Macaca mulatta: one gene and its partners. The main gene of each other region encodes a partner of the protein of the gene in region 2 in a complex. Links are inferred from orthologs where the notes say so. Each region holds a gene or a part of one and is shown on either strand. Other genes may lie near its edges.

What was found. The genes of interacting proteins can lie anywhere in the genome.
Region 1: the proteins of GPSM2 (region 2) and INSC are in contact, whole or in part, in a crystal structure (PDB 3RO3), measured with the Mus musculus proteins. The link is inferred for Macaca mulatta from reciprocal best matches to the Homo sapiens genes GPSM2 and INSC. Residues at the interface, in NP_083798.2 of Mus musculus: Asn210, Tyr213, Leu214, Phe218, Arg242, Ser246, Asn247, Asn250, Ile253, Phe254, Tyr265, Gln283, Tyr286, Ser287, Asn290, Thr291, Thr293, Leu294, Arg323, Trp326, Ser327, Asn330; in XP_006507722.1 of Mus musculus: Val72, Asp73, Ser74, Val75, Arg77, Trp78, Met79, Asp81, Leu82, Lys83, Leu84, Met85, Thr86, Glu87.
Region 3: the proteins of GPSM2 (region 2) and FRMPD4 are in contact, whole or in part, in a crystal structure (PDB 4WND), measured with the Homo sapiens proteins. The link is inferred for Macaca mulatta from reciprocal best matches to the Homo sapiens genes GPSM2 and FRMPD4. Residues at the interface, in NP_001307967.1 of Homo sapiens: Leu25, Ala28, Leu29, Glu32, Asp57, Lys59, Thr60, Ser62, Ala63, Ile64, Ser66, Gln67, Asn70, Phe73, Tyr74, His85, Asp88, Ala92, Gly100, Lys103, Asn107, Asn110, Thr111, Lys113, His128, Arg143, Tyr146, Asn147, Asn150, His153; in NP_055543.2 of Homo sapiens: Gln988, Leu989, Leu990, His991, Ser992, His994, Met995, Glu996, Met997, Glu998, Pro999, Glu1000, Thr1001, Met1002, Glu1003, Thr1004, Lys1005, Ser1006, Val1007, Thr1008, Asp1009, Tyr1010, Phe1011, Ser1012.

What each region holds. Positions count from the first base shown.
Region 1 is NC_133419.1:50,250,476-50,257,311, forward strand, and holds part of INSC (protein inscuteable homolog), read right to left. Parts: intron 4,763-6,836; coding exon 4,591-4,762; intron 566-4,590; coding exon 387-565; intron 1-386. UniProt on the Homo sapiens protein: May function as an adapter linking the Par3 complex to the GPSM1/GPSM2 complex. Involved in spindle orientation during mitosis. May regulate cell proliferation and differentiation in the developing nervous system.
Region 2 is NC_133406.1:131,414,783-131,421,618, reverse strand, and holds part of GPSM2 (G-protein-signaling modulator 2), read left to right. Parts: intron 1-1,748; coding exon 1,749-1,904; intron 1,905-3,351; coding exon 3,352-3,460; intron 3,461-4,339; coding exon 4,340-4,469; intron 4,470-6,836. UniProt on the Homo sapiens protein: Plays an important role in mitotic spindle pole organization via its interaction with NUMA1. Required for cortical dynein-dynactin complex recruitment during metaphase. Plays a role in metaphase spindle orientation.
Region 3 is NC_133426.1:12,342,029-12,348,570, reverse strand, and holds part of FRMPD4 (FERM and PDZ domain-containing protein 4), read right to left. Parts: intron 4,674-6,542; coding exon 3,609-4,673; intron 3,230-3,608; coding exon 1,940-3,229; intron 312-1,939; coding exon 1-311. UniProt on the Homo sapiens protein: Positive regulator of dendritic spine morphogenesis and density. Required for the maintenance of excitatory synaptic transmission. Binds phosphatidylinositol 4,5-bisphosphate.

The DNA.
Region 1 (6,836 bases), on a different chromosome or scaffold from region 2:
TGTCTAGGCACCTTCCATGGGTCTTTCTGTCTCCAAGAACAGGCAATCTGAACAGAGATTGAGGAAGGCCCTATAGTGGCTGGGATGGACAAAGCAGGTAGGAGATCTCATAGAGAGGCTTCAAGGTCAATGAGAGACATGGAAAACATATTCCTTTACCTTCCTGCAGCATGTAAAACTCATAATGGGATGGGTAAAGGGGGTAGGAGGTCTCATAAGAGGCTTCAAAGTCAATGAGAAATGTGGAGAATATTTACCTTCCTATAGCATGCAAAACTAACAGTACCCCCATGCTCTCTCCCCTGCCTCAGAAACTAAGCGCTGGCCTCCTAACCTCTGTATCCATGGCCATGGGCCCTGGGCTCAGTGCCTTCTGGGCATCTTACCTGGTCCCGAGTGTAAGGCGTGTCCACTCTCTGCTTGTCACTGCAGGCTTCCAGGAGGACACGGATGGCGTTCAGCTGCAGGAGCATCTCGCAGGCCATTGTATCAAAGAACGTGATGTTGGCAAGGGCCGCAGAGGCCAGCAGGAAGACTTCCCCTGAGGAGGCCTCTTGGCACAGTTCTGGATGGCAACGAGAAAGAAAATAACTTCCGTGCCAAGTGTTTTCATATCAGTTGTCTCATTTGGTTCCCACAGTAGCTCTGGGAGATCTTTTGAGCAGGTGTTATAATAGCCATTTTACAGATGAGGAAAGTGGCTACTAAGAGGGAACAGTATCTGTCTACACAGGTGGCAAATGGGATTTGAAATCTGGTATGTAACTCTACTCAATCCTTCATCCAATAAGTATTTATTGAATGAAAACTATGTGTCAGGCACCACTGGGATCTTGGGATGGCATAGTGAACAAAACAGGTCAGGTCCTTGCCCTTGTTGAGCTCACACTCTACTAGTGGGCAAGAGAAAATAAACTTTAAAAAAATTACTATACATAATTACAAAGTCTGATAAACACAAGGGAGAAAATAAACAAGTGCTAAGAGAGAATAACTAGCGGTCTGCTGAGGTGTGCAACAAAAGGTGTCCCTAAGAATGTGACTTTACAGCTGAGACCTTGAGGGAAGAAATGGGCCAGTCATAAAAATACTTGGGGAAACAGAATATTCTAGACCAAAGGAAAAAGAGATATAAAGTCTGTGAGTCGGGAAGGAGCTCCCAGTCCATTTATGTCTCCGGTAATGCACACTAGCCTGCTGCTAAGCTTGCCTTAAGGAAGAGACTAAAGGTGAAAGAGAGAGACTATACCCCTCCAGCTGCCATCAACAGAGCTTCGGTGCTTTCTTTCAGTCCCAGGATAAGGGCCATCTGGCAGCAAGAAAGTCCTATACCAAGTTTCTGAATGTCAGGCTCTTTATCTCTAATCCTGGTGGTCCTAGCTTAGCCCTAACAAATTCCCCCATTTACCATCTGTAATTGTACTAAGGGCCTTTAAGGAGCAGAGTGACCTCATCCTTCCACCACCTGACACATCCCCCATGGGCTCCACAGAACCTGGAATGGACGCTCACCAAAGGAGGAGGCATAGATGGGCTCTATCTATGGTGCTTCCCCCATTTCAGTGGACCTGATGTCTGGCCCTCAGCTCCAACTTGACTATCAATCAAGGTACTTCTCCAGTCCAGTCCCTCTCCTACTGATAACACCTCTACAAAACCACAGGAGCCAAGGCCATACTTCAGGAAAAGAGTCCCAGGAGAGAAAGAAAGTTCGGGAGACAAAATTGAGCTATCTTCTATCCTGGTCCCTAGTTCTTGCCTCCAGACAGTCTATACTTCCAGGTTCTGATGCAACTGCCACCTCTTGGCACCTACCTGTGAATGCACATTCTGATCCCTACCTTTTAGTTTTAGTAGTAAAACCCTTTTTCTACCAATAACATTAGTCTAACACCTACAGTGGGCCTTGCACTGTGCCATTAAATTCTGAATACCCTCAAATTAGAAAATGATTGTCCACATTTACAACTAGCTGAATCTTAGAGAAGCTAGTAGTAGCAGCAGCTACCATTTATTGAGTGTTACTCACTGCTGTACATATTTTTTACTTCATTACATCATTTAATCCTTACAACAATCCCATTTTTATCACTATTTTATAAATAAAGAAATTGAGGATTGAAATGTTAAGTGATTTGCCCCTGGTCTTATGGCCAGTAAGTAACTCTTTGAGGTTAGAATCAAATCCAGGTCTGCCTGACTCCGAAGTCCTCATTCTTTCTACACTCCAAGTTGCATCTGGTCTCTCAGCCTCTTTGACTCATTCCCAGCAATGCTTCCACAGACGTGCGTTTCGGTTCTATCAGGAAGGTAATGCCTCCCTCTGGGCAATGTTGCTCCCCGCAGCCCAGGTTTGACCATTAGATAATTCAAACTCTTGATCCAACCACCCAGGACTGGAACAACAGATTAGCCAAGGTATTAAGAACTCTGATTCCCTTTATCCAATGATTGCCCTATCCTCTGATTTTGGGGAAATCACTGGAGTCCCCAGCCCCTTCCAGGCCACCTCCCTACATCCAAGGTTTTGGGTGAGTCTACAGAGCTCATCGGCCCACTTTGCTGTAAGATTCCTTCTAGGTCCTAACACTCCCCCTCATTCTCATTCAGTTGCTATTGCTGCTGACACAGCAATTATTAACACGACCAACTAAGTGCCTTTTAATTTTGCTGCACATTTATTTGAACTACAGTCTGAGTCACCTGGGATGTGTTAGGAAGATTAAATTGAGGATTCCAGTGACTCATTTATAAATGTTTCCAGGGAATGGCAAGAAGTTGGAGGGCTATTTCCCACCAAAGAACAGAGCTCTGGCTTCCTGCCCAGAAGATATCTGCTGAATCTCAGAGTGGACTATACAATGCGTCTTCATCAGGATGAAATAAATAGGAAGATTCCTTGGCTCCAGGGAGAAACCCAGCCTGGGCAGTGAAGCAGGAATGAATATATGACAATAGTGAAAGGTCACTTTGAATATATGTACTTTCATTTATTTGATAATGTTTATAAATTGAGAAATTTTCTATGAAGTTTACAATTTTTGTCTTATCTTTAAAAGTCTATGCCTTTCCTACATGGCAACAATCAACTGAAATTTACCAGTGACCACCCCTTTAGACAGTGCATGGACTTTTCAATTTGACACAGGACTCAAACACCTTTATTCTTCCACCTGGCTCTCTTCAAATCATTTACGTTTCTTACCAGGCTCTGGTGGATGTTGAATATGAGACTCCTGGTATAAGTGAGTCCTAGTGCTGTTGTGTGGCCTTGAGAAAGTAACTTAACCCCTCTAGGCTTAGATTTCTTCACCCAGAGAGTATGCTTGAAACTGTAGGGTCTCTTGAGCTCCCCCGAGCCAAGACTTTCAACAATGGGCTTCTATGTTTTCTCAATTTTGAATAAATGTGGACATTGGCAAATTGATCCTCCCAGCCTGACCTGTGAGTACCACTGCCCCCATGACTAGAATCAGCCATAAAGTCAACTTAACTGATGTCTCCTATGTGCGAAGTACTTGCAGATCTCCAAATTCTAGAGTTAGAAGGACCCTTGAGAGAAACGAGTTGCAATGTCTTGTTTATATTAGGAAAACTGTGAAGTGGGTTTTACAATGTGACATGGTAAGAAGTGAGTGGCGGGATCTCACACAGCACCGCCACAGGCTTGCTGCACATAGCCACTTGAATGGATAAGTGAAAAGCCTGAGTCCAAACCCAGGGTTCTGACTCCTAGCCCAATGTTCTATGTTGCCCCTAAGTTCGTGCTATTTCAGATATTTCCAGCCCTGACATGGTCACTCCAAGAGCTAATCCTAAATTTTCTTATGAAATTAACTTTCATTTCATTTCAATTAGATATAGATATAAAGAGAGTGACAGAGAAATAGAAACACAGATCACTACTAGCACTAGCACTTTTAAAAGAAAGAGGTGGGTCACAAAAAATTCCCTGGGGATTGTTATCCAGACTGGCCCTTTCAGTTTCTATAATTTAGCAAAGGAAAACTAAGAAAAGAGCATATTTCAGATACGGATCTATGATTCTCCTGCCAGGGATACATACGTTTGAATAGGGGAACCTAGAGGAGTCAATGCTTTCAAGGCCCCATGATGTGAGACCAATGGTGGGATTTTCAGGCAGCAGGTTGTGGTGGGCTGGTGCTCTCTGAGAAACCATTTTCCTCAGTCATTACTCTCATAGTCACTGGGTACAAAGACTGAGACTTTAGGAAAAATGTCTATCAGAGTCTCTCAATCTGAGTATCTGAACCTCAAAATTTGAGGCACCACTCCTTTCTAGGGCTTGTCCTGGACTCCCTTCTGAAAGGCCATTGAATCACAAACTGACAATAATTCAGGTTGCTTCTCAGAGGGCCACACACATTTTAATAGGAAACTCTTGACAACAGAGCTCATCAAAGCCTAATTCAGATCCATTAATGGTGGGATTTCAGCAAATGTGATCATCTATGCAGGAGATATTTGGGGTGCAATGAGTGGCAGATGGGAAGGCCTTCCTGGCTATTCCTGAAGACAACTGTGCCAAGGTCCTCTCTCCTAGTGGTCCCACTGCCCAGGGTAACTCACTGACGAGGGCTGTCACGATCTCCTCCATGCTCTCCATGAAGCTACTGAGGTGCTGGGTGACGGGCAGGTGTGGGGAGGTGACCTGGGCCACCACAGCCGCAGCCTCAGCCCGTGTGGCCTCTGAGTGGCTGTCGTCAGTCAGGATGTCGGCCAAGCACAGAACGCCATCCACCTGCAGATGGAGAGAGGGAGCTCCCCTGTGCATTCTGGGTGAACACCACTGCCCAGGACATTAATGAGACAGATTCAGCACCCCCTACATGGAAGCCAGCTCTGGCTTCCCAGAACAGCCCGGGACCCCATGTGGAGCCAGGGACAATCCAGTGAAAAGACCCTCAGAATGACTCAAATTCTGGCACCTGGAGGCCTCTCCTTTGAGTCCAGCGGAGATCAGTAACCTTCCATGGGCCTCCTAGAGAGCAGACAGCAAGTCAAGTGTCCAAAGGCAGGACCCTGGTCATCAACCACAGCAAATTGTCATAAAAGAATAGTCACTTAGAAATCTCACATCCCTGACCTCTAATCCTGGACCCCTCTTCCTTGCTATGCGACTTGGCGTTAGTCACTTAGCCTCTCTGAGATTCTGTTTCATCACCCTTCAACAGGGTGTTGTGGGATTGAAGACATAAAGCAGGCAATGCCTGATCTAGAAGAGATGCTCAAGAAATGTTGGTTTCTTCCTCATATTTAGCAACAGGATGAGCTTAGTATTTCCTTCCCCATCTTGTCCTCCACCATCCTCCCTGATAGAAATGGGGCTGCTTCCCTGGAGGCCTTGCTTTCTGTGCCCAACCAGTAAGGAGCAAACCTGAAACTGGTGGGACATTAGTGCCAGATAAGAACATGTTTCCAAGCTCTGCCTGGATCAGACCTGCTTTTGGTATGAGAACAGCTTCTGCTGAGCATGTGCTTACAGTGTGCCAGGCACCATTCTATAGAGTGCACATGTTATTATACAATCTATTCCTTACAATAACCCTCTGAGGTCAGTATTATTATCCCCATTTTACAGACGAGAAAGCTGAGGCCCAGAAAGGTTCATTGACTTGCCCCAGATCAAGAACTTTAAAAGCAGTTGGTTGGGCATTCAAACTCAAATGGTCCTGGTGTCAAAACCCAGGTTCTGAACAGGATATTATGCTGCCTCCTAAGAAGTGGCATCTGAGCTCAGACTTCAGCCTCCATCAGGGTCAGTACACAAAACTTGCTGGAGAAAAAGAGGGCAGGAGCTTGTCAAGATTAGCTCTGCAGTGCTACTGCAGCCCCTCAAATGCCCTGGGCACCAGCCTGCCTGGGGACCCTGCCACCAAGCACCAAGTCCTTCTCAGGTTGGGAGTGGGAGGTAGGGATGAGGCAGGGGAAGAACAGGAGAGGTGGGGTGAGGAGCAGCCCGTGCTCATTCCCTACACCTGCCACAGACCTGAGGCTTCTGTCCCTATGTCTTCCTGCCACTCAGCTCCTGTGGGCCTCCAGAGGTCTGCATTTCGTTTGACTAATTACCACCACTGAGTTCTGTGCCTCCCTTAAATGGCTCTTGGGAGCTGTAAGGTCCATTAGCTGTGAAAGCCTTTGGCAATCTCAGACTCAGAGGAGATAAATGTGGAAACAGGAGCCCAGGGAACTGTCCGCAATAAAACTCACCTGGATGTGCTTAATAAAAGGGAATAAACAGCAGCCATGTGGTCCCTGGCAGAACTGGACTCATGCCAGATGTTTAACTAACAGGCCTTCAGAGAGGGGCGTTGTTTGGGCCTAGAAAAGGGAAGGGAAGCAGGGGCTAGAAGCAGGAAGCAGCCCTATTGCCATCATAAGAAACCTCTTACCCCATCTGGCCTTCATCCCTTTCATCCTTCCAGCACAGATCAAGCTCGTTGCTAAGAAGTTATAGGATCATTAGTGGAGAAATGTCTCTAACAATCCCGTCTCCTTAATCTCAATGTGGTTGCAGATGCTATCCTGGTTCCCAGCTCAGATGTGAATACCAGTCGGACCCAAACCAGTAACTTGCCCTAATCCCCAACACATGCTTGGAGATAGGCCAATCTGAACATACCGGAGAGGCCAAGGAGTTGATCGTCCCCAGGGTCTGCTGCCACCCAAGGCCTGGCTGCCAGGCCTGCTCCCTAGTCCAGACTGCTGCTCTGAAACCCCACTGAATAAAACATCCCCGACATATACTGCATGCCAAGCCTTGTGCTGGGAACAATGTCCACTGCAGTGGCGAAGGTGATTCACACCTACAAATT
Region 2 (6,836 bases):
AAGTCTTAATTATTAAATGGCATACCTGTGTTACATACTGAAAGGTTCTATTATAAAATGGATAGTGGCTATTTGACTAAAGAAGCATGAATATAAAGTAATGAAACTTACTTTTTTTCTCCCTATAAGCAGGCTAGAACTCAGAACTTTATATATATTCCAAGTTGTTGGTTAGAAATATTTTTAGAACTCTTCTTTAGATTTTTTTTTTTTTTTTTTTTTTTTAAATAAAGACACAGTTTTGAGTTTTGCTCTTGTCGCCCAGGCTGGAGTGCAATGGCACAATCTTGGTGCACTGAAACCTACCTCCTGGGTTCAAGCGATTCTCCTGCCTCAGCTTCCTGAGCAGCTGGAATTACAGGCGTCTGCCACCATACCCAGCTAATTTTTGTATTTTTAGTAGAGATGGGGTTTCACCATGTTGGCCAGGCTAGTCTTGAACTCCTGACCTCAAGTGATACGCCCACCTCGGCCTCCCAAAGTGCTGGGATTACAGGTGTGAACCACACCCAGCCCGGAATTGTTATCAGGGTCAAACAAGAAGGCTGACATAACATTGTAGATCCATATCCTTCCAGATACAAAGCAGTAGTTTGGTAAACCTATGTTAGTAATTGAATTTGGTTCCAGAAAGATTTCTGATCATTTACAAATCAACTGTACCATCAAAGAATAATGGTATGCCAGAAAGCATTATGTCACAGGTTCTGAGAGCAATTCCAAAAGTCTTTCAAAAATATTTGAAAAGACAGGCAGCATTAGAATAATTAGGTAGCCTCCCAAGGCGACAGATTTGAATGTATCATCATTAAATATGTAATTTTAGATTTGTTTGTTTAAGAAAAAGCTATCACATTACCGTATAGTAATTTGTCATATAGTTATAAGTGATATTAAGTAATTACACTATTTGGCAGAAATGATGGGAGAGCCATTTAAATTACTGAATCCAAAAGCATCTGTAGGTTTAAGCACTGATAATAATAACATATTAACATTTATACAGCATCTACTATGCACAAGATGCTATTCTAAGCACTTTTTATCTATACATATTAATTTAATCCTCACAAAAATCCTTTGAGGTATTTCTCCCATTTTATATATGGAGAGACTGGTATACATACTTTGCCCTTAGCTTAGTAATTAGCAAAGTTGGGATTTAAACCCAGTCTAGCTCCAAGATCTATACTCTTAACTGCTATGCTAGCTTCTCACTGACAATACCACAGTTAGAATGGGTAATGTTTGGATGCAGCATTCAGTATTTTTCATGAGTTGATGACTAATGCCCTATACATAAGAATTTTACCTAAGTGGTGACTAATAGCCTACACATAAGAATTTTACCTAAATATTTTAAATTTTGACAATGCAAAGGTGACGGTACGATTGAAAACAGATGTCATGTGGAAAAAAGCCAATACTAAAGGGAAAGTTTTTTTTAAATGTTAAAGATAGTATGTTAACCTCTAGAAACTCTTGATTTCATGTTTCAATACTCCTTTACTTTGGTGAATTGTTAGGATTCTCAAATTTATTCTGTCTTGAATCTGCTTTCTGTGTTTCAAAAAGGCCTTTTCATTTTGTCTAAAAGTAATGAAGAAAGTATGGGATATGAATATTAGGCTCTCAGAGATTTAAAGGCAGCAGAAAGCAGCAGAGAGGAAAAATTAGAGTTTTATTTTGTGATCCTTAAAGCCCAAACTGAGAATGATCATTATGTAAGAATTAATTTCTTCTTGTAGGAAGACACTACTGTTGGCTCGACAGCTTAAAGACCGAGCTGTAGAAGCACAGTCTTGTTACAGTCTTGGAAATACATATACTTTGCTTCAAGACTATGAAAAGGCCATTGATTATCATCTGAAGCACTTAGCAATTGCTCAAGAGCTGAATGATAGGTATGTTTTACATCTTTTGACCGTAACTAAGGTAAAATATAGATGCATTATTGAATCCCTAGAGTTTTTCCTTTGTTTCTTTTCCTGTGTTTACCTCAAAATCCCTTTTAAGGAATTTTCTTTTTCAGTGATATCCTCTGTATATCGTTGTATGAAGGGCTAGTCTGTGATAGAGGATTAGTCTGTGATAGAGGACTGTCTGCGATAGAGAATTAGTCTGTGATAGAGGATTAGTCTGGTTCCATATGCCCTTGACCCAAGATCAGTGACTAGGTCCCAAACTCAGTTACCTCTTCAGAAGTCTTCCTGGAGAAACCCCATCTTTACAAAAAGTACAAAAATTAGCCAGGCGTGGTGGGGCACGCCTGTAATCCCAGCTACTTGGGAGGCTGAGGCAGGAGAATCGCTTGAACCCAGGAGGTGGAGGTTGCAGTGAGCTGAGATCACGCCACTGTACTCCAGCCTGGCGACAGAGTGAGACTGTATCTCAAAAAAAAGTCTTCCTAACTACGTAAGTGTAACCCCGTATCTACTAAAAATGCAAAAATTAGCTGCGTGTGGGGAGGGGGTGTGCCTGTAATCCCAGCTACTCAGGAGGCTGAGGCAGGAGGATCACTTGAACCCAGGAGGTGGACGTTGCAGTGATCTGAGATCACACCACTGTACTCCAGCCTGGCAACAGAGCGAGACTGCATCTCAAAAAAAAAAAAAAAAAGTCTTCCTAACTATGTAAGTGCGGGAATTGTGGTAAACTTAAGAGATAATGCCCAGTGTGAAGGGGGCAACTGCTACCCAACTCCAAATAATTGTTGCCAGGCAGGAATGAAAATCCATTGTGTCCACATCTTCCTGTTTTTTAAAGAAAAGTTGGAAGTGCTGAGTTTTATATGAAATCTGCTTTTTAAATGTTAGTGGCTAATTCAGTTATTTTGTTTTACTGTATTAAAAAAACAGTATTTGCCAGCATTTAGTCTGTGATATTTGCTTTAGAAAATCGATTTTTTTTTTACCTCAGTATGAAAGAGAACTTTTCGATGCAGTTGTTCAAAATGAAGTATGCTACCTCAAGAGGTAGTGAGTTCTCTCTCCCTGCTGCTCAGACACACACTGAATAATTACCTGGTAGGGCTGTTATAGAAGGAAAATGGGGTAGTGGACCAGAATACCTATCCTTGAGATTTATTACTTTATAATGTATTTTCATATTTTAAAAGAATGTCTTCTATGTTGTAATACTTGACTATGAGTTTAGTATCATGTGGGTATTATTTTTTTTAATCTGGGTATTCTAATATGTCTATAATATCATGATAGTATGTTCTTTATATGAAAGACCAAATCAATCCAAACCTTTCTTTATATCTTTAGTTCCTGCTAGATAGCTTTTATTCTATACATAGGACCTCTTTTTCAAATAACTGCATGTTCGCTTTGAATAATATTTTAGAATTGGTGAAGGAAGAGCATGTTGGAGCTTAGGAAATGCATACACAGCACTAGGAAATCATGATCAAGCAATGCATTTTGCTGAAAAGCACTTGGAAATTTCAAGAGAGGTATGAAACAAAAAAATGCTGTCTGTGCTGTTGTAATTTACAAATTAGAGGTTGGGGGAGGGAACCCTGTTATTTCTCTAGATTGATCATGTGGCTGAATAATAAATTTGATTATATATCATTCTCTTGTCATAAGAACCCCACAAAGCATTTTGAGGTACAGATCACAGTTATGTTTGTATTGTCTTTGATGTAGGAAGACAGGAAAGTAAGGCTGGGCATGGGTAAGTGGAAGGAGAGTACTAAAATATGCCCCTACTCTACCCGCATCTCTACATGGAGAAGTAGCATGGTATTGAAGGAAAAGCATGATTCTTAGAATTAAGGACTGCTTCCTCTTGTAGTTCTGCCACTTACTGGCTATTTGAGCTTGGAAACCTTTTCTGAGCCTCAATTTCTCTCATCTGCAAAATGGGAATAATAATATCTACCTTGCAAAGTGTTTTAATGATCAGAGCTAATGTATATTAAAAGTGCCTAGCAAAATATCTGGTGCTAGCTTAATAAACATTACTATTATACTATGGGAATAAAATATTCTAAGGAAATTTGATTCATATACCAAGTTAATGTGTCCAGGATAATCTACATTATTACTTAGTATGATCCCAGAGAGCAAGAGCAATCTAATGTTTAGAGAGCTAAAGAATTAAAAGAATACAATTAGCTGTCCTATTATGATATTTTAGAAACTTGCTTTTTCTTTCTATATTCTTTAAGACAACTATTAATGGAAAAAAATTTTCATTCATTCATAGTCTCATAATTCTAATAAAACTATTTTCATTCTTCCAGTTTTAGGTTCACTACATTTATAAATAATCTTCACCATTCTTTGTCTTTAAATACTACTCTAAAATATAAATGTTTGTGTTGTAGGTTGGGGATAAAAGTGGTGAACTAACAGCACGACTGAATCTCTCAGACCTTCAAATGGTTCTTGGTCTGAGCTACAGCACAAATAACTCCATAATGTCTGAAAATACTGAAATTGATAGCAGTTTGAATGGTAAGTAATAGGACTTTTAAAACCCAATTTTTTAATCCTCAATATTTACATTAAAGTTATTTATCACAAATTTGGCATATTCAGAGAGAATATATAACATAGGAAGTTCAACTTATTACACTCTTTTTGCTGTACACAGCTCTGTAAATATATGTAATTATATATAATATATAATTTATAAATGTAAAACAATATTTTATAGTTTTTATGAATTTAGGAATGGTGATGGTATTGTTCTTTTCTTTTGTAAAAATACATTTAAATTCTTTCTCTAAGCTCATTCAAAAATTTATAAATGTGAAGGTGCCAAAATTTTTAAATGTTATTGTTTATCCTTTTTATCTCATATAGTTTTACATATTTGATTTCTGTTTAGCTCTTTTTCCCCCATTTCATTTCCAAGGTGAATTTTCTTAGGACTTTCTTTTTTAAATTCAGAAAATCTAAGATAGTCTTTTTATTTTTCTTTCTTGCTTTTTTTTTGTTGTTGTTTTTTGTTTTTTGGTGGCAAAACCTATTTTTAGGAAACCTTCCTTAGGTGCCGATTTGTTTGACATTTCTATAGCGAGGAAACTTGCTATAATGTCTCTTTTTGAGTGAAAAAAAATGCTTTTAAAGAAATAAAAGGGATAAGATTAGGATCACATTTTAAAATTTCATCAGTATGTGATTCTGTATGAGATCATTTTCCTAAGCTTGAGAGATTCTCAGTCTAAAAAAAACTGACAAATATTTTGAATCTGGAAGTCAGTGATAAATCTACCTTTTTCCAATTTTTTTCTTTAAACTCATGAAAAAGGAAAAGAAATTAGTGGCTAGTCATCTGATTTAGACTTTCAAAGAACATTTAGTGAAAAGTCTGAAGCGTGAGCCGTATAATAATTTGTGACTGCATGCTTTGTGGTTGAATGATGTTCTAAAACGTTTTTCTGGGTTGAACTTTCTTTTTTTTTTTTTTTTTTTTTTTGAGACGGAGTCTCGCTCTGTCACCCAGGCTGGAGTGCAGTGGCCAGATCTAAGCTCACTGCAAGCTCCGCCTCCCGGGTTCACGCCATTCACCTGCCTCAGCCTCCCGAGTAGCTGGGACTACAGGCGCCCACCACCTTGCCCGGCTAGTTTTTTTGTATTTTTTAGTAGAGGCGGGGTTTCACCGTGTTAGCCAGGATGGTCTCCATCTCCTGACCTCGTGATCCTCCCGTCTCGGCCTCCCAAAGTGCTGGGATTACAGGCTTGAGCCACCGCACCCGGCCCTGTGTTGAACTTTCAAATAGGTTATGCCATGAGAGCTCTCATCTTTAAAAAGCAAAAGCAAACAGTCGCTTGTCTTCATGAACCCTATAGACTGTTCCTTTGTTCCCTTTTATAACAAAACCTGAAAAGACACCACTGATGTTCATTGTCTTTACTTCCTTGCCTCCCTTTCTCTCTTTAACCCATTCCCGTTGGGCTTTACCCTCACCATGACTCTGAAACCACCTTTCAAGGTTACCACAAACCTCCATTTTACCAAATATATCATTCAGTTTTCACATGTCAGCTTACTTGATTTTTCTCAACAGTATCTATAGCCAATCATTCCCTTCTGAGAATACTTTCTTCATTCGGCCTCCAGGATTACTGTACTTTTCTGGTTTGCCACTCTCGTCTTTATTCTCTTCTCTCCTCTTCTTCATCTTTCTGTCCTTTACATTTGCACTGCTCAGGGTTCAGTTCTTGGATCTCTTCCTACCTTCTTTCTCTCCCTATTTTCCATCTGTCTCTCCTTCCTTCTTACTGCTTTTATCCTTTTTCCTTCTATTCTGTGCTTTAAGTCAGTGCTTCCAGTAGAACTTTTCTGTGATGATAAAAACGTTTTATATCTGCCATCCAATATAAAAGCCACTAGCTATATGTGGCTGTTGATCACTTGAAATGTGGCTACTACAAGAGGGGGTGAATTTTTAATATTACTTAACTTTGCTTAATTAAAATGTAGAGAGCCGCATGTGGCTACTGGCTATTGGACAGTACAGCTCTAGATAATCTCATCTGGTTACTTGGCTTTTATATTGTCTATATACTGATTATTTTCAGATTTATATTTCTAGCCAAAATTTCTCTCATAAGTTTGAGACTCATTTGTTTAACATTTTCCATTGTCATGCCATATCTTACTGGCATCTAAAACTTAGCATGTCTAAAATGTTTTCTCCTAAACATGTTCTTCCTGTACCCCACCCTATCTCAGGAAATAGTATCACCATTCACTCAAGTAATCAGGCCAAAAAACTAGGGGTCATACTTGTTCACTTTCTACTTTTATTTATTTATTTATTTATTTATTTATTTATTTATTTTATTTTATTTTATTTTATTTTTTTTAAAGAC
Region 3 (6,542 bases), on a different chromosome or scaffold from region 2:
GACTGCACCCTTGGTTCTCTCTCGGAAGGTCTCCAAATCGACAGATCCGGAGAGGACACTGCTGCTATGTCTCAGAGCCTTCTGGCTGGGGGGTGTCCTGAGGCTTCCCCCTCTCAGATCCGGTGGCCGCCAGCTCACAGCCTCTCCGTATGCCTGATTTGCTTGGGAGAAATCATTAGGGTCTTGATTTGGAATTGGCACCTTTGATTCCGAGTGAATGTTTGATGGTAGCAGGATGGGATCAGCTTCAGGATGTTGAGACCAAGCTGAAGGCATGCCTCCTCGTCTCTCCTTCCCAGGCTCTGTCAAAGCTACACTAGGGGTAGTAGAAAAACAGAGAGAATCATTAAGCATCTCCTGGGAGGCCATTTTTACTACATCGCTACATGATGTCTGTCATTTCTCAAGGATGTAGTCTGGAAGGGCTGCCGTATGCTAAGGTCACCCTGCTTTCCAAAGGCTGCATCTTGATATCTCATAACAAATTTCCATTTTAATGAATATCAAGAAAATACTGGAATCTGTTATTTCTGGAACTGCTGATTCATTTGAAATTGTCTAGAAATCCCAAACATTTTCAGGGATTTCATGAATTGCCTTGCTACCAATATCTATCTATCAAGCTTAGACACAGAAAATAACTATGTATAGATTATTCAAATATATTGAAGATACTAAGTTTCATTTCAAGGGAATTAAGTTAAACCTGGCATCAGTTTCTTTCTTTCTTTTCTTTTCCTTACTTTCTTTCTTTTTCTTTCTTTCCTTTCTTTCTTTTAAAGAAGTGGCCTAATTTAATTAATGCAAATTAAATAAGTGAATCTGTTTAAGAGGACAGCATGAGGTTTGCCTGGTACAAAGTCTGAAGTTGAGACCTTGGGCCAGTTGCTCAACATTTTTTTTTTGTTTGTTTAAGAAAAGCTGTCATGTGAAGCAAATAATCCCCATCTCACAGAATATTTGTGAGAAGCAAGAGGTAACTCAGGTGAAAGTTCTTTATAAATCATGAAAGATTAAACAGTGTGACTTAGTTAGTTTAGAGGTAAATATGCAGTTGGGTGATGAGTTAGGTAATATTCACAGATAACTTTTCCAAGGCAGGTAAAGCCAGTGGTGGGTTTTGAGAAAGTAGAAAATCTTAAAAGAACAGGAATAGAAAATGACCAATATAAGATCTCACTAACTTCTATTGACCTGTATGAAAAAGACACTATTGATGACATAATTTGAAATATGAAAATATGAGAGAGTATCTGCTTTTGCCATATAATGACCAGCCAAGTGGATCAGTGAGGGGAATGCATACCATTGAGTGGTGGAGTAGTGAAGGTGGGATACAGAAGGTGGATGTGTTCTTGTTTCTATGTGTGTTTACACTTTATTATTTTGGGGAAAATAAAGCAGCTCATCAGACATAACCTCAAAATCTTCCTGACACTGGGGTATGTCAGAGTAGGGAGGAGTCAGTAAGATTGCTGAAAGGCAAATAATCTCTCCAAACCCCTCCAATCTCCCTGATACCCTGCTCTCTTATTCTTCTTTGTCCCTCAATAATGAAATGGCAGAATTAGAAATCAGATGTCTTGGGAAGAAAATCAAACTGTTATGTGACTCTAAGCAATACTATCATATAACTTAAAGTCACACTGGGCATTGCTAAACATCTGCATTTAGAATTTAGGAAAAAAACATATTGCTCCATCAAATTCTGAAAGCAAACACAGAGCAAGATTATAAAGCGCAAATGCCATTTTCACCTTTGTAATCTTTAGTATTTATTAAATACTAGGGGATCAATGATTGGTACTTTACTGTTCTGTGGCCTTTTAAATTCTACCTTTTACTTTTCTTCCAGACTTTACGTTTGTAAGTTTGTTGTAAATATGGTTTACATGCTCCTGGCATGTCATACAAAGTGCTAAATCCATCATTGCTGTACCTGTGGTTTCCTTAATCTTGGGGAGCCGATGGCATCCATCTCTCAATGTGCCAAACAGGGGTTCGGTGTTAATGGCTGTGTGCAGAGCAGGCACTGTCATTCGTGGACACATCCCTTCTGTCTGTGGGTGCAGTTCCTTAAAGGTGGCTCCGTGGTTGGGAAGCCCAGGGGCTCTCTCCTCTGAAGGAATGTAATTCACGCCTTTCCCAGAAGCGTCAGGAATCAAGTGCTTCCCTAGGGAGGGGCAGAGCGGCGACTCCACGGGTGTGGCGCAGGCACTGCCACTGCTGCCCGTGCCACAGCCTGCATCCACTGAAGAGCCTTGGGAGCTCTGCAGAGAAAAATGGCCCTCGCTTTGCAGCGATGACATCCGCTTGGCCAAGTGGTAGTCACAAAGGTGGGCCACACTCTCATCAGCCTCAGGAAGCTTGGAAGGATGGTCGCAGGTGGACGAGTCAGCGTCCTCTGGGTTATCTAAGTCTTTGGCTGAAGATGCACAGGTCACGTCAGTTAAGAAGTGGTCCCCTTGACCAAGTCCTGAGCCATCACTGGTTTCTCCATCAGGAGCTCCTTCTTCCTTCCCTTCAGCCTCCCTTGCCCCAAGACCAGAAGCTCTTGGAAAGGTTTTCCCCGTTGCTGCTTCTAATCCACTTTTTTCAGCCATCCCGCTTTCAGTGGCCACATACCATCTTTGGCTGTCCTTGCGAAAGGCAGTTCTCTCCAGGTTAAAAGTGCTCAGGTGTTGACTGTCCCGTGAAGACACAGTACCAAATTTACCACTGGCGTCCTCCTCCATCTCTGCCGTTTTGGTCCCCTGCTGTTTTTTTCCTATTGTGTTCCCATTAGAGGGTGCCTTCCCCTCACCATCGGCCAGCTTGCTTTTCCTTTTGCTAGTGCAGGAGTATGCCACCGACCCCATGTGCAGTTTGCTGAAATAGTCAGTGACTGACTTAGTCTCCATGGTTTCAGGCTCCATCTCCATGTGGTCTGAGTGAAGTAACTGCTTGGAAGGCACAACTTTGGGCGGGAGGTCAGTTGCTGGCCTAGCAGCCAGGGTGTGCGAGGACTTTGGATGCAAGCCCCCAGTGGGGGTCTTGGAGGCCGGGAACTCAGTCTGCTCTTCTGCAAGGGGGTGGTAGCCTTCGTGAGTGGCCAAGAACATGCGGGAGAGGTTTTCTGACTGTTTTTGTGCTGTGGCCAGTTCAGAACTCTCAGTCATTTCAGAAGAGTTAGTTTCATTGCCCGAGTCTGACGAAGACTCAGGACTATAAGCCCGCAAGATGGCTACACCTGCATGCCGTAAAAAACAAGAACTGATTAATGGATGCATCAGAGGCACTTGGAGACATGTAAGAATATGGGACCCGTTATTACTAAAACAAAATACCAAGTTTTTCCCTTTTCAGTAAGGACTCTGAGTTTATTGCAGTTTTTCCAGAAATGGGGGTGGGGGTGGGGGTGGGGGAGATGTGCCTTATGTCTTTAAAAAAGTAACAACAAAAGAAATCACATACACACAAAAAAACCTATGATGGCAGTTTCAGCACGTTTATGAAATGGGACATTTGTGAAATGGAGAACACCATGTAACAGAACTCCAAGGGCAAATGGCTTGGAAGGATGGAATGATATGGTTATCAGTGAATGAATGTAACAATTGTGAAAGAACCTGAATTGTCACTGGTCTGCTGTTCTTCTGACACGGATAGAGTCTCTAGAGCTCCCAGCGTGGAGACAACGGCATTATCCAGTCCCTTCTCACACTTGCCTTCGGCGCTGGTGGGCACAGCGTCAATGAGGGACACGGGGATCTCATCATTTTGCAGGCTGCCGCCTTTCTCCTTGTCCTCGGGGAAGGAAGCTGCCTGGCTCTGAGAGTCCTCTTCATCTGAACTGTCTCTAAAGCCAGGTGGGGGTGCGGCAATGGCCATGTTCAAGGAACGCAACAGGAAGTCATCCTCATTGTCATCACCTTCTGGAGGGGGCAGGGATGTGAGGTCAATGATGTCATCGCTTGACCCAGACAGGTTGAGGATGGCCGGCTGGTTCATCTCCCCCACCACGAGGTCCTCCTCACAGCTCACCTCGTCCTCATCCTCTGCGTCATCAGTGTTTTCTGCATAACAGATGTCATGCAAGAGGGGCTCCTCGATCCCCTCTGCAGCCTGGAAGCTCTTCACATCGCCTATGTTTGCATAAACAGAATTTTCCACAAACTGGATGCCCTCTGCCTCTGGAGTGAGATCCAGGCCCTTCATGTCACTGGCACTGCCGATGTAGAGATTTCTCTGCTTCTCCAGCATTTCAGGACTCTCATCTAGTAGTGTTTCATAGCCGAGGGTTGGGGGACTAATACCATCATCCAAGGCAAAGTCTCCAAAAATAAAGGACACTTTAGCTCCTCTCGGAGATTCCTGTGCTTTCTTCAGAGTTTCTGGTCCTGAGAGGGTCAATAGGGACTGCTGAGCGAGACTTCTATAGTCTGCCTCACAGGGGGCCTCCCCGGGCTGGCTCAGCTGCTGGTTAAGTGCATCTGAACTATAGGTGTTGTCTATGTACAAGTGCCGGTGCTCTTTTGGACATATGGTGCTGTCTGTGATCTCCACCGTCTTCTGCTTTGAATCTATGTATGTTATCTGGGCTTCTTGTTCCCCTTCGCCAATAAAGGTGGTCATTTGGGGTATACAGTTCCAATCTGGGCCAAGGAGGTTATGCTTCCCCTTGTTTTCAGTTCCTAAAGAGAAAGAATCATGCAAAGACACATTACTGTACTGTCTGGTTTTGGGTGGGGCAGGGGTGGGGGGGGGCTCGTCTCTGTTTTTTAACTTAATGGCTTGTAGCATCACTTGTGTAAATACAGTTTTTCAACTACCCAAATATAGTACTTGTTGATTTAGGCTTCAGGTGTAAGAATTCCTTGGGTTAGGAGAACCAACCTTAACAAAATTGATACTGCATAAATTGTAATTGCTATGTGATAAAATGTAATACCATCCGGGAGTAGGGAAGTATAGCTTAATTCCATCTGACCCTTGGTTCTATTATTAAAAGGCTTCATTCATATCTACGAATGTAAATATACAACATGCCTTTTACCCTTAAAGGTGAGATTTCAATAGGCCATTATTCCAGAACATTAATTGTTCTTTTTTTGTAAGGTGAGATCTAATATTCCCTACTTCATGAAGGAAGATATTGAATGTTTTCCTCATTGAGTTCAGAGATAGTCAAGGATTGTCAGAGTTTTGCCATATGGGAAATTAAAATAAATATTGTAATGATAGTACAAAACTTCTATCTTCAGTCTTTTGATATCCTAGTAGATGTTAAAATATTCATGTATAAATGTCAGCATGCATGCCTGTGTGTGTGTGTGTGTGTGTGTGTGTATAAAATGCATAAGGTGGAGTGGTCACAGGTAAGGTACTTTTCTCTGTAATTTCTAAGCATAATTAATATTTAGATTAATTTCAATTTTTGTTTGTATCACGGGAACTCCTGAAAATTTGTTTCATGTTCCTCATGGATTAAAATTACAAAACCCCAATTTAAATACTATTAGTTTGTTTGCTCTTCAAGCATCTTTCAATCTGGAATTTTGATGTGGAGATTTGTTCTGATATTTAACAAGACAGAGAACTGGGTCATTCTGTTGATATTGCCTTATAGATTCCAGAGGCAACATTTTGAGAAAATTTTAGGGCCATACTATTCTCCCATCCATTCCCTCAAATTGTCCCCAGCACAAGTTTGGATAACTGACATCAGATGTGCAAGACATATGGGAAAAAAGTACAGTTTTACCAAAGAGGTTTTTGCTCCCGGCAAATCATGCAATGGACTTAATGCTGAACAGTGTTCATGGTCATTTTTAATAAATTCATGTATTTTCATGAACAATAAGAGATATAATTTTGAAGACATTGAATTATACACTAGCCATATTTGCATCTTACCTTACAATAAATAAACCTCGTGGGGGGTCAGCATTATTTTATTAACAACAACAATTTAGATTATGACTGGGTGTGCACGTTGGGGGAAGTGTGTGTGTGAGTGTGGATTGTTGCAGGAGGAAGAGTAGTTCAGCAAAGTTGCATTGTAATGCAGGTTTAGGGCTTGGCAAATATTTTCTGTAAAGGGAGGCCCAGATAGTAAATATTTTGGTTTTGTGGGCCAACCATTCATTTGAGCAACTACTCAATTTAGCTGTTTTAATATGAAAGGAGCCATAGATGCTACATAAACAAATGGGTATATGAGTTGAATGGTGGCCCCCAAAAGATATGTCCACTCTGTGAACGTGACCTTATTTGGAAAAAAGTGTCTTGCAATGTCAAGGATCTTCAGATGCGATTATCCTTAATTATCTGCATGGGCCCTAAATTCAATGGCAGAGAGAGATTTGGGCCACACAGAGAAGAGGGGAAGGCCACGTGAAGACAGCGGCAGAGACTGGAGTTAAGCAGCTACAAGGAATGCTGGCCACCAGAAGCAGGAGGAGGTAAAGAGAAATCCTCCCCTAAAGCCTGTGAAGGGAGCATGGCCCTGTCAACATCCTGGTTTTGAACTTGTGGCCTCCAGAACTGTGGGAGAATAAATT